2 linked regions of the Callithrix jacchus genome follow. The protein of the gene in region 2 purifies or fractionates together with the protein of the main gene of each other region. This does not show direct contact. Links are inferred from orthologs where the notes say so. Each region holds a gene or a part of one and is shown on either strand. Other genes may lie near its edges. The genes, in order: CLTCL1 and CLTB.

Region 1 (3,809 bases), on a different chromosome or scaffold from region 2:
TGAAAGTATGAGGGACTCTAGGTCCTACAGGTGGCTTCACACCTAGGCTCTTACTTCTCCCCCAGCATGCTGCAGGGAGAATTAGGCTTCTCAGTCAGTCTTGCAGTAGTGAAGTTCTGCTATCATTATATTCTATTTCAAAATACTTAAATTCATGATGAAGGCTAGAAATGGTTTGTTCATAACTACCCCTTGAAAGACAAGAAAAATTCTTTCAAGGACAAGCAACTTGGAATCTTTATCTACTCAGGAGCAGATCCAGTCTCTGAAAAATTTATCCAAATGAAATAAACCAAAGAAAAAGCCACATACAGAAATGTATATTCGAAAAGAGTAGAGAAAGTCCAGAGTCGGACTACTGCTAAATAAAACAGGGAACAACCACTTCATGTACTGTAGTTATATTTGACAACCAGGTAGCAGGAGTAGAAAATTCTAAGTCACAAAAATGTGAAACTGTACCTAAGCTGCTGGGTGAGAGGTATGTATGCACACAAAATGGGAGACCAGAACTGCTGATACAGGAAGACTGTGGATAATTTTTCTGTTTACCTCCTTAACTGTTAGGCCATTGGTGCAAAAATGTTAAACGAAAAACTCCTAACACAAATACACTGCAATATTAGTAGTGAAATACTTGTATGACTTATTTTCCTCTCAAGGTTGGTTCTTAACACTCAGAACACTTGAACAGTATTCGAGGTTTATCACCTTTGGTGCAGACGCTGCCACTCTGGCGGCTTCAGCATAGCTCCCCTGTGCAAAGAGGGTCCCGAATTTTCTCACAAACAACTCCTCTGCCCCAGCCAGGTTACTACGAATGGCCAAACGCAGACCGAGTTCTGGATTCTGAAGCACGTTGGCTGCATAATTCACAATGTTATCTTCCTCAACACAAACTGACAGCACCTGTAAAGGACCCAACAAGTGAGAGCGGCTGAGCCTAGAGGAGTGCTCCACCATCCCTCTGCCGTGTTCCCTCCCGATGCCGGAGGGAAGCCACCTTCTCAGGCGAGCGTTGAGCACACCAGTGACGGTGGCCCTCGTAGTGAGAGGATGCAAAGGAGATGGAAGCTGAAAGGTAAGAAAGCAGAACAGCATACGAGTCTACGTAGTTGTTAAAGTCACATGGATAAGCACCCCAGTGATGCAATCTGCACTACAGCAAAATGATCTATGTGGATGGAACTGATAATTTGTCTTCTTAAACTTTTTATTTTTAAAGCACAGAGTTTCTTTTCTTTCTTTTTTAAAAAATATTTTTGTAGAGACAGCATCTCACTATGTTGCCCAGGCTAGATTCAAACTCCTAGCCTCAAGTAATCCTCCTGCCTCAGCCTCCCAAAGTGCGGGGATTATAGGAATCAGCCACTGTTCCTTTTTTTTTTTTTTTTTTTTCAATTTTAGAGAGAGGCTCTCACTATCTCACTCAGGCTAGAGTGCAATGGTGTGGTCATAGCTTACTGCAGCCTCAAACTCCTGGGATCAGGCCATCCTCCTGCCTCAACCTCCCATTTAGTTGGGATTACAGGCATAAACTATGTGCCCACACAAGAGTTTCTTATTTTAACTATCTTTTTCAACTATGGTTGAGAAAAGTAACTTCAATACCATAGTATCTGCTTTTCCAACCCTCCCAAATTAGGGTGTGCGTGGTTTGAAGATGATGTGTTGGGCATCAGAACTGCTGTTTCGTGCGGGAAGGAGCTGCTCTCCTGGAATCAATCCTGTGTTAGAAATGGTGCTGTCTGAAGAGGGGAAGTGCCAATATGAAGGAGAAGGAGACATAGATTTAAGTTTTAATAACAGGAACCATTGATAAACTATGCCCAGCCACTTTCCTGAAGAAGAGGGAAAGTAAACACCAGTCCCTAATGAATGGAAAAGGTGGAAAACAAAACATCAGAGTTACACACCTGTCCCTTTTTGTTGACACCAATAATTCCAGAGGTTGGTTTGTGTGGAGCAGTGACAAATATTGTGTCAGCACTAATACAGTTCATGTAGATGCACACACCAGACTCTAGGTCGTACAGATGAAGATAGCCACACTTCGTGATCAAGTAAATAACACCATGTTTAGCTCCAATCTGTCAGAAGACAACGACAGCAAGAAGTTAAGAAGTAAAAAGGAGGAGCCATGTGGGTAAAAAGAGTTCATAAATGATAAAGAGGATTTTTTTTTTGAGACAGGATCTTGCTCTGTCACTCAGGCTGGAGTGTAGTGGTGCCACTATAGCTCACTGCAGCTTCCAACCCCTGGGCTCAGGTGATCTTCCCATCTCAGCCTCCAATGTAGCTGGGACTACAAGTGTGAGCTGCCACATTCAGCTATTATGAGGATTCTTCAGTCTCTCAGGCCAAGAGATTACTGGTGGGAGCAATGCTTCACTGAGACATGGATTCTAAGTTGTACTTGATTGAGAATTAGTTTTAAAGCCAATATTTTGTCCAACTACTTTCAAATAAAGGTCCGATAGACTCAGGCTACTCCATTTATCTTTCAGGTAGAGCAATCCTTTCGGTTTATCAAACCCCTTTAAGCAAGCTGTGAGTTCATAAGAGAAGGGGAAAGTTCTGGACAAAGACCTAAAGTGACAAGTTAATGTCCCAGCGCGCCTTCCACCACCACTTAGTAACCTTTGAGTTTTGCCAAATGCTATTAACTTTTACAGAAAAATATTTAACACACAAGAAAACCTGAAGGGGATGGGTTAAAAAAAAGATGCATTTGCCCAACCACATTATTAAACATATACATTAAATTTTACCATTGGAAGAGAGAGAGACAGAGAGAGAGAGAGAGAGAGAGAGAGAGAGAGAGAGAGAGAGAGGGAAATAGAACTTAATTGAGAGCCCTGAAAGAGAATGAATCATGTATGAGGATTTAGTAAGAATGAGTGTGTGGTGACACAGGACTATAGTCCCAGCCACTTGGGAAGCCAAGGCAGGAGGATAACTTGAGCCGAGGACTCTGAGTCCAACCTGGGCAACAAAGCAAGACTCCAACTCTGAAACAATAAACAATTAGTAGGTAACACATTCGTGGAAAACAGGCACTTTAATCAATATATAGCATATATTATTAATATAGTCAACTAGCTATCTGGAGATGGAAGTAAGAGCAAGGAACTGAATTTCTGTTTTACTCTCTAGATGAAAATAAATTACAGATGGGTCAAAGATTTTAAATAAAAAACAAACACAATTAGGAGAGGAATGAAAGAAAATATAGGTAAATGTTGTGATCATCTTGGGGTACAGAAGTATTCTCAAAACATGATGCCATTGACACACAAAAATGCAACTTTCAATAAAGTGGCACATACCACAAATTATGACTGGGAAAAATATTCAGAATACATCAGACACTTAGTATTCTGTAAGTACAAAAAGCTCTTACAAATAAGGTAAAAATCCTGGAGCTGGGCACACGCCTGTAACCCCAGCTACTTGGGAGGCTGAGACAGGAAGACTGCTCGAGGCCAGGAGGTCTAGACTGGCCTAGGCAACATAGCAAGACCCATCTCTACTTTTAAAAAAAATATCCTGATAGAAAAAAATGCAAAGATTAGGAGAAGCCAATTAACCAGATGCATATGAGTGGCTAATAAATCAATTCTACCTTGATGGTAACCAAGGGAAAGACATCACAACATGGGATGCTGTCTAGCTACCAGTGGAAGCACCAGTAGGAACGTGAAGTGGCCAGAGTGGTCAGGGGAGTCTGCGATGGGCATGTGCCCCTGACCCAGCAGTTTCATTTCTAGAAATTTATCTTTGGACTTTTAGACTAACACACAAAGGTG
Region 2 (4,460 bases):
GTCCCCAACAGCTCCCTGGAAGAAGCGAGTGTGTCGTTGTTTCTCTCCCTGACACCTCGGGTGTGAGGCCAATCTGTGCCCCACCCCTGCCGGAGATGGAACCTCCCATCCAGCCTGTAAGCCCCTGGAGCCCCGCCATCCTGGGAAGAGGCCACAGCCCACTCAACTCCCAGAGGCATCTGACTGCCCTTGGCCTGAATCCCATCTTCTCTCTCCTGGAGTTCTGAAAATGGCTCCCCTCAGCAACACCTCCCCACCAGGCATCCCTCCTCTGCCCTGCACCCCTCCTCCACCCTGTACCCCTCCCCCAACAGACCCCAGTGAGCCAGACTGAGGAAAAGGGTGGTCTCACAGAGGTATGGACCAATGAATACTGGTGCATTAACTGGGGCAGGCATTTCTTAGGAATTCCCTGGGGCGGGGCAGGGCAGGATCTGTGCTGAGGTGCTGGGAGCTGCCACTTCAGAAGCCCTCCATTGCTGTCTCAGACAGGTGGCAAAAGACTCCTTGCTTCTCATCCCCACATCCTATCTCCTCCCAGGAAGGTGACTGCTACAGCATTTTTTTTTTTTTTTTGAGACAGGATCTCATTTTGTTGCCCAGGTTGGACTACAGTAGCATGATCACGGCACACTACAACCTACCTACACCTCCTGGGCTCAAGTGAGGCTCCTGTCTCAGCCTCCCAAGTAGCTGGAACTATAACTACAGCTGCATGGCACGACACATGGCTAACTTTTGCATGTTTTGTAGAGATGGGGTTTCACCATGTTGCCCAGGCTCCACAGCATTTGAAAGAGTACGGAGCCCAGAGTTGAGAGGCCTGGGATCGAGTCCTAGATCTGTCACACCTGGCTGTGTGACTCTAGGTAAGATACTCAAATTCTCTGGGCCACCAGTTTCCTGCATGTTACAAAAGCCTGGTTACATTTCTAATATCAAGGAGATACAGGGTTGCTTCAAACTTCTCAGCCACAAGAACTGTCATACTCATTTCTGTATCCCCAGTGACCTGGAATACAGTAGGTGCTCAGCAAATGCTGAATGAATACAAACATGACTCTGAAGAGCCTTGTAAACATCATTAACCAAAATATATCTATTTGTATATAAGTCAGCACTTATTACAACAAAACCTCTCCAAAGTGACATTAACAGTAAGGCCTGTTTCGGATGCACGCATAAGGTGATACCTACTTTTTTACTAAATATTTTACAAAATCATTCTTGCTAGCCAGAACCAGAGCAGGAACATCATTGAAAAGATGATCTCCTCGCACCATTGCACTCCAGCCTGGGTAACAAGAGCGAAACTCTGTCTCAAAAAAAAAAAAAGAAAAGAAAAAGAAAAGATGATCTTCCAGGACCAGGCCCTGAACTCTGAGGTCTGAAGCCAAACACAAGAAATCATAATAGCCCTGGACCACCTTTGGAAAACCATTGAGTCAGCAACCACAAAACCCTGCAGGGCTGGACCGCATCTGACCAATGTTTCGTTGCAACCCACACCCCCGTGTCTAACTCAGAGCCAGACACTTGGAAGGCAGTGTGGTCAGGTGGAGAGGGCTTTGAGTCTGACAGAAACAGGTTTAAATTCACGGCCAGGTGCAGTGTCTCACATCTGTAATCCCAACACTTTGGGAGGAAGAGGTGGGAGGTTTGCTTGAGCCTAGGAGTTCAAGACCAGCCTGGGCCACATAGCAAGACTCCATCTCAAAAAAGGAAAAGGAAAAAATATATATATAAAAGAAATAGGCCCGGCACGGTGGCTCAAGCCTGTAATCCCAGCACTTTGGGAGGCCGAGGCGTGTGGATCACGAGGTCAAGAGATCCAGACCATCCTGGTCAACATGGCGAAACCCCGTCTCTACTAAAAATACAAAAAATTAGCTGGGCATGGTGGTGCATGCCTGTAATCCCAGCTACTCAGGAGGCTGAGGCAGGAGAATTGCCTGAACCCAGGAGCCTGAGGTTGCCGTGAGTCGAGATCGCGCCATTGCACTCCAGCCTGGGTAACAAGAGCGAAACTCCGTCTCAAAAAAAGAAAAGAAAAGAAAAGAAAAAGAAACAGGTTTAAATTCTTGATCTGCCACTACTAGTTATTTCAATAGCTTATGCCTTTGAGCCTCAGTTTTACCATCTCTGAAATGGGTTCAATAACGAGTATGAAGTGATTAAATGTAATCAAGGCACTTAGCTCACTGGCTGCCGAAAGGCAGGTGGTCCCTGGGGAAGGTTAGTGAGTTCCCACAGCACCCAGGGTCCCCCTTTTTTTCCCAGCTGCAGGAGAGAGCTAAGGCTGAGGGGCCAGGAGGCTGTGTTCTGCCCACACCTGCACACTTAGCTGGGAGCCTGGGACAGCCAGGCTATTACGAAGCTCAGGAAGGACTCCGAAAACTGACCCGGGGTTGGATTCCAGAGCCCGGCAGCGGGGAAGCTGGCCTAGGGATGAAATGTCATGACCGAATTCCTGTCCCGGGAGTCGCTGGATCCACAGCCCAGGCGAGGCCTCATCCCAGTTCGGAGGTCCTACGTGGAGATCTCTAAGAAGATTTCTCCCCACGTCCCCCCCAGCTCCTGCCCCAGCTGGCCTAGAACAGGCCCTCTTCCCTGTGCCGCTGGGCCCCGGCTGGGGTCCCCCGGGTGCGCGCCCCAAGCCCCGCTCCAGGCCCCGCGCTGACTCACCCCCACTCGCGGGGCCCGTCTGCGGGGGGGCCGCATGGCCGCCTGCAGGTGCTCCAAAGCCCTCGTCGTTCTCTATGCCTGCGATCTCGCTCTCCTGCTGGGCCAGGAAGGCGGCCGCCGGGTCCTCCTCCGCCGCCTCCGGGGCCCCGCTCTCCGACGACGAGAAGAAGCCAAAGTCATCAGCCATTTTCCCCGCGCCTCCGCCGGAGCCTCCGCTGCGCTCGGCTCTGCCCGCGCCTGCCCCGCGCTGCGCCCGGCGGCCGCGACGCTGTCACCCGAGCCGCGGGGAGCCGGCGTCGGCGGGGACGGGCTTGGCGCGGACCACACTTCCTCTCCGCCACCGGACCCGGCTCGCTGTCACTGCGGTGCTGGCGCCGCGGCAGGAGGAGCGGGGCCGGAATGCGGTGACGTCACTGAGGGGGGCGGGGCGCAGGGCCGGGAGGTCTCCAAGCAGTGACCGCAGGAGGGCGCAGCAGGCCTGGGCGCAGCGCGGGGCCGGGACCGGCGGGGGCGGCGCTCCCCTCCCTCCGCGGCGGCGCCCAGCTGCGCCTGTCCAGGACACCTGGGCGATGCACAGCTCACGCCAGGTCTGGAGGCGAAACGCAGGGCACAAAGTGGCCGTACCGTGCACAGGGCCGCGACAGGCGGCCAGCCCTGGCCCCGGGAGCGCAGACCTGGCTGCTGATTCATTCTGCAAAAGTTTCTGGGATGTCAAGCACCTCATTCTGAGTCTCTGCCTCCGTAAGAGGAGAAGAATTGAGACTGCGAAAGCCTGCTCCGCACCTTTTCATGCAAGTCCAGGTCCTTTTCCACTAGGCCGTGTTGCTTTGCGCATTTTTTTGTGTGTCTCCTTTAAGGAGGCTTCAGCTCATACGACCAGAGTTTGGATGGCCTGGCTGAGCCCCTGCTTAGAAACTGGGCCCCTTAAATGTCCTTTAGGTATGAACCAGCCTGAGAAAGGTAGACCTGGTTTACCCAGGCAGCCTGCCACTCTCCACGCTGCCCCCTGCCCTCCGCGAAGAGGCTCTGAACGCTTCCTCCCTGCCTGCGCTTTGCCAAGCACCAGGACAGCAACGTTTTGTAAAATCCAGCCTTGGCCTTGGGGAGATTATAATCCAGTGAGACAACAGATGGCAAATGGTCCGTCAAAGCACTGTGTGTGAGGTGCTGTGACATTTAAACACGGGGTACACGGAGACGATGCCAAGAAACATCATGGGATTTGGGCTGTCTGCTATTTCTAATGTGGGACTTAAAGGGCAACCATGAAATATGGACTGGAGGAGAGAAAGGAAAGATGTGCCCGAAGCTGGGGGTGGAAGTGGACGTAGGGTGAAGGAAAGAAACTTCCAGAGTTTTTTGTTTTTTTTCTTTTCAATATTTTTACTTAGAGATGGCCTCGCTGTATTAACTGGGCTGGTCTTGAACTGCTGGGCTCTAAGGATCTTCCTGCCTTGGTCTCCCTAAGTACTGGGATTACAGGTGTCAACCACCAAGCCCAGCTGGAACTTGCAGTTTACTTGGTAATACTTTGAGCACCTTTTGATGTTAAAGTGGTTTTTTAAAATTGGTTTATTTAATTAAATGTATTTATTTATTGCTGTCCATTTGCATGGGTTTTTGTTGTTGCTGTTGTTTGGTTTTTGTTTTGAGACAGGATCTCACTCTTGCCCAGGCTAGAGTGAAGTGGCACAATTATAGCTCACTACAGCCTCAACTCTTGGGCTCAGTGATCCTCTCAGCTCAGCCTTCCAAAGTGCTGGGATTACAGGCAT

What was found.
Region 1: the proteins of CLTB (region 2) and CLTCL1 purify together in Homo sapiens (affinity purification with mass spectrometry; 3 studies listed by BioGRID and IntAct, with this or other methods). This does not show direct contact. The link is inferred for Callithrix jacchus from reciprocal best matches to the Homo sapiens genes CLTB and CLTCL1.

What each region holds. Positions count from the first base shown.
Region 1 is NC_133502.1:210,881,855-210,885,663, forward strand, and holds part of CLTCL1 (clathrin heavy chain 2), read right to left. Parts: intron 2,091-3,809; coding exon 1,917-2,090; intron 910-1,916; coding exon 712-909; intron 1-711. UniProt on the Homo sapiens protein: Clathrin is the major protein of the polyhedral coat of coated pits and vesicles. Two different adapter protein complexes link the clathrin lattice either to the plasma membrane or to the trans-Golgi network.
Region 2 is NC_133503.1:70,798,100-70,802,559, reverse strand, and holds the start of CLTB (clathrin light chain B), read right to left. Parts: upstream 3,048-4,460; 5' UTR 2,873-3,047; coding exon 2,686-2,872; intron 1-2,685. UniProt on the Homo sapiens protein: Clathrin is the major protein of the polyhedral coat of coated pits and vesicles.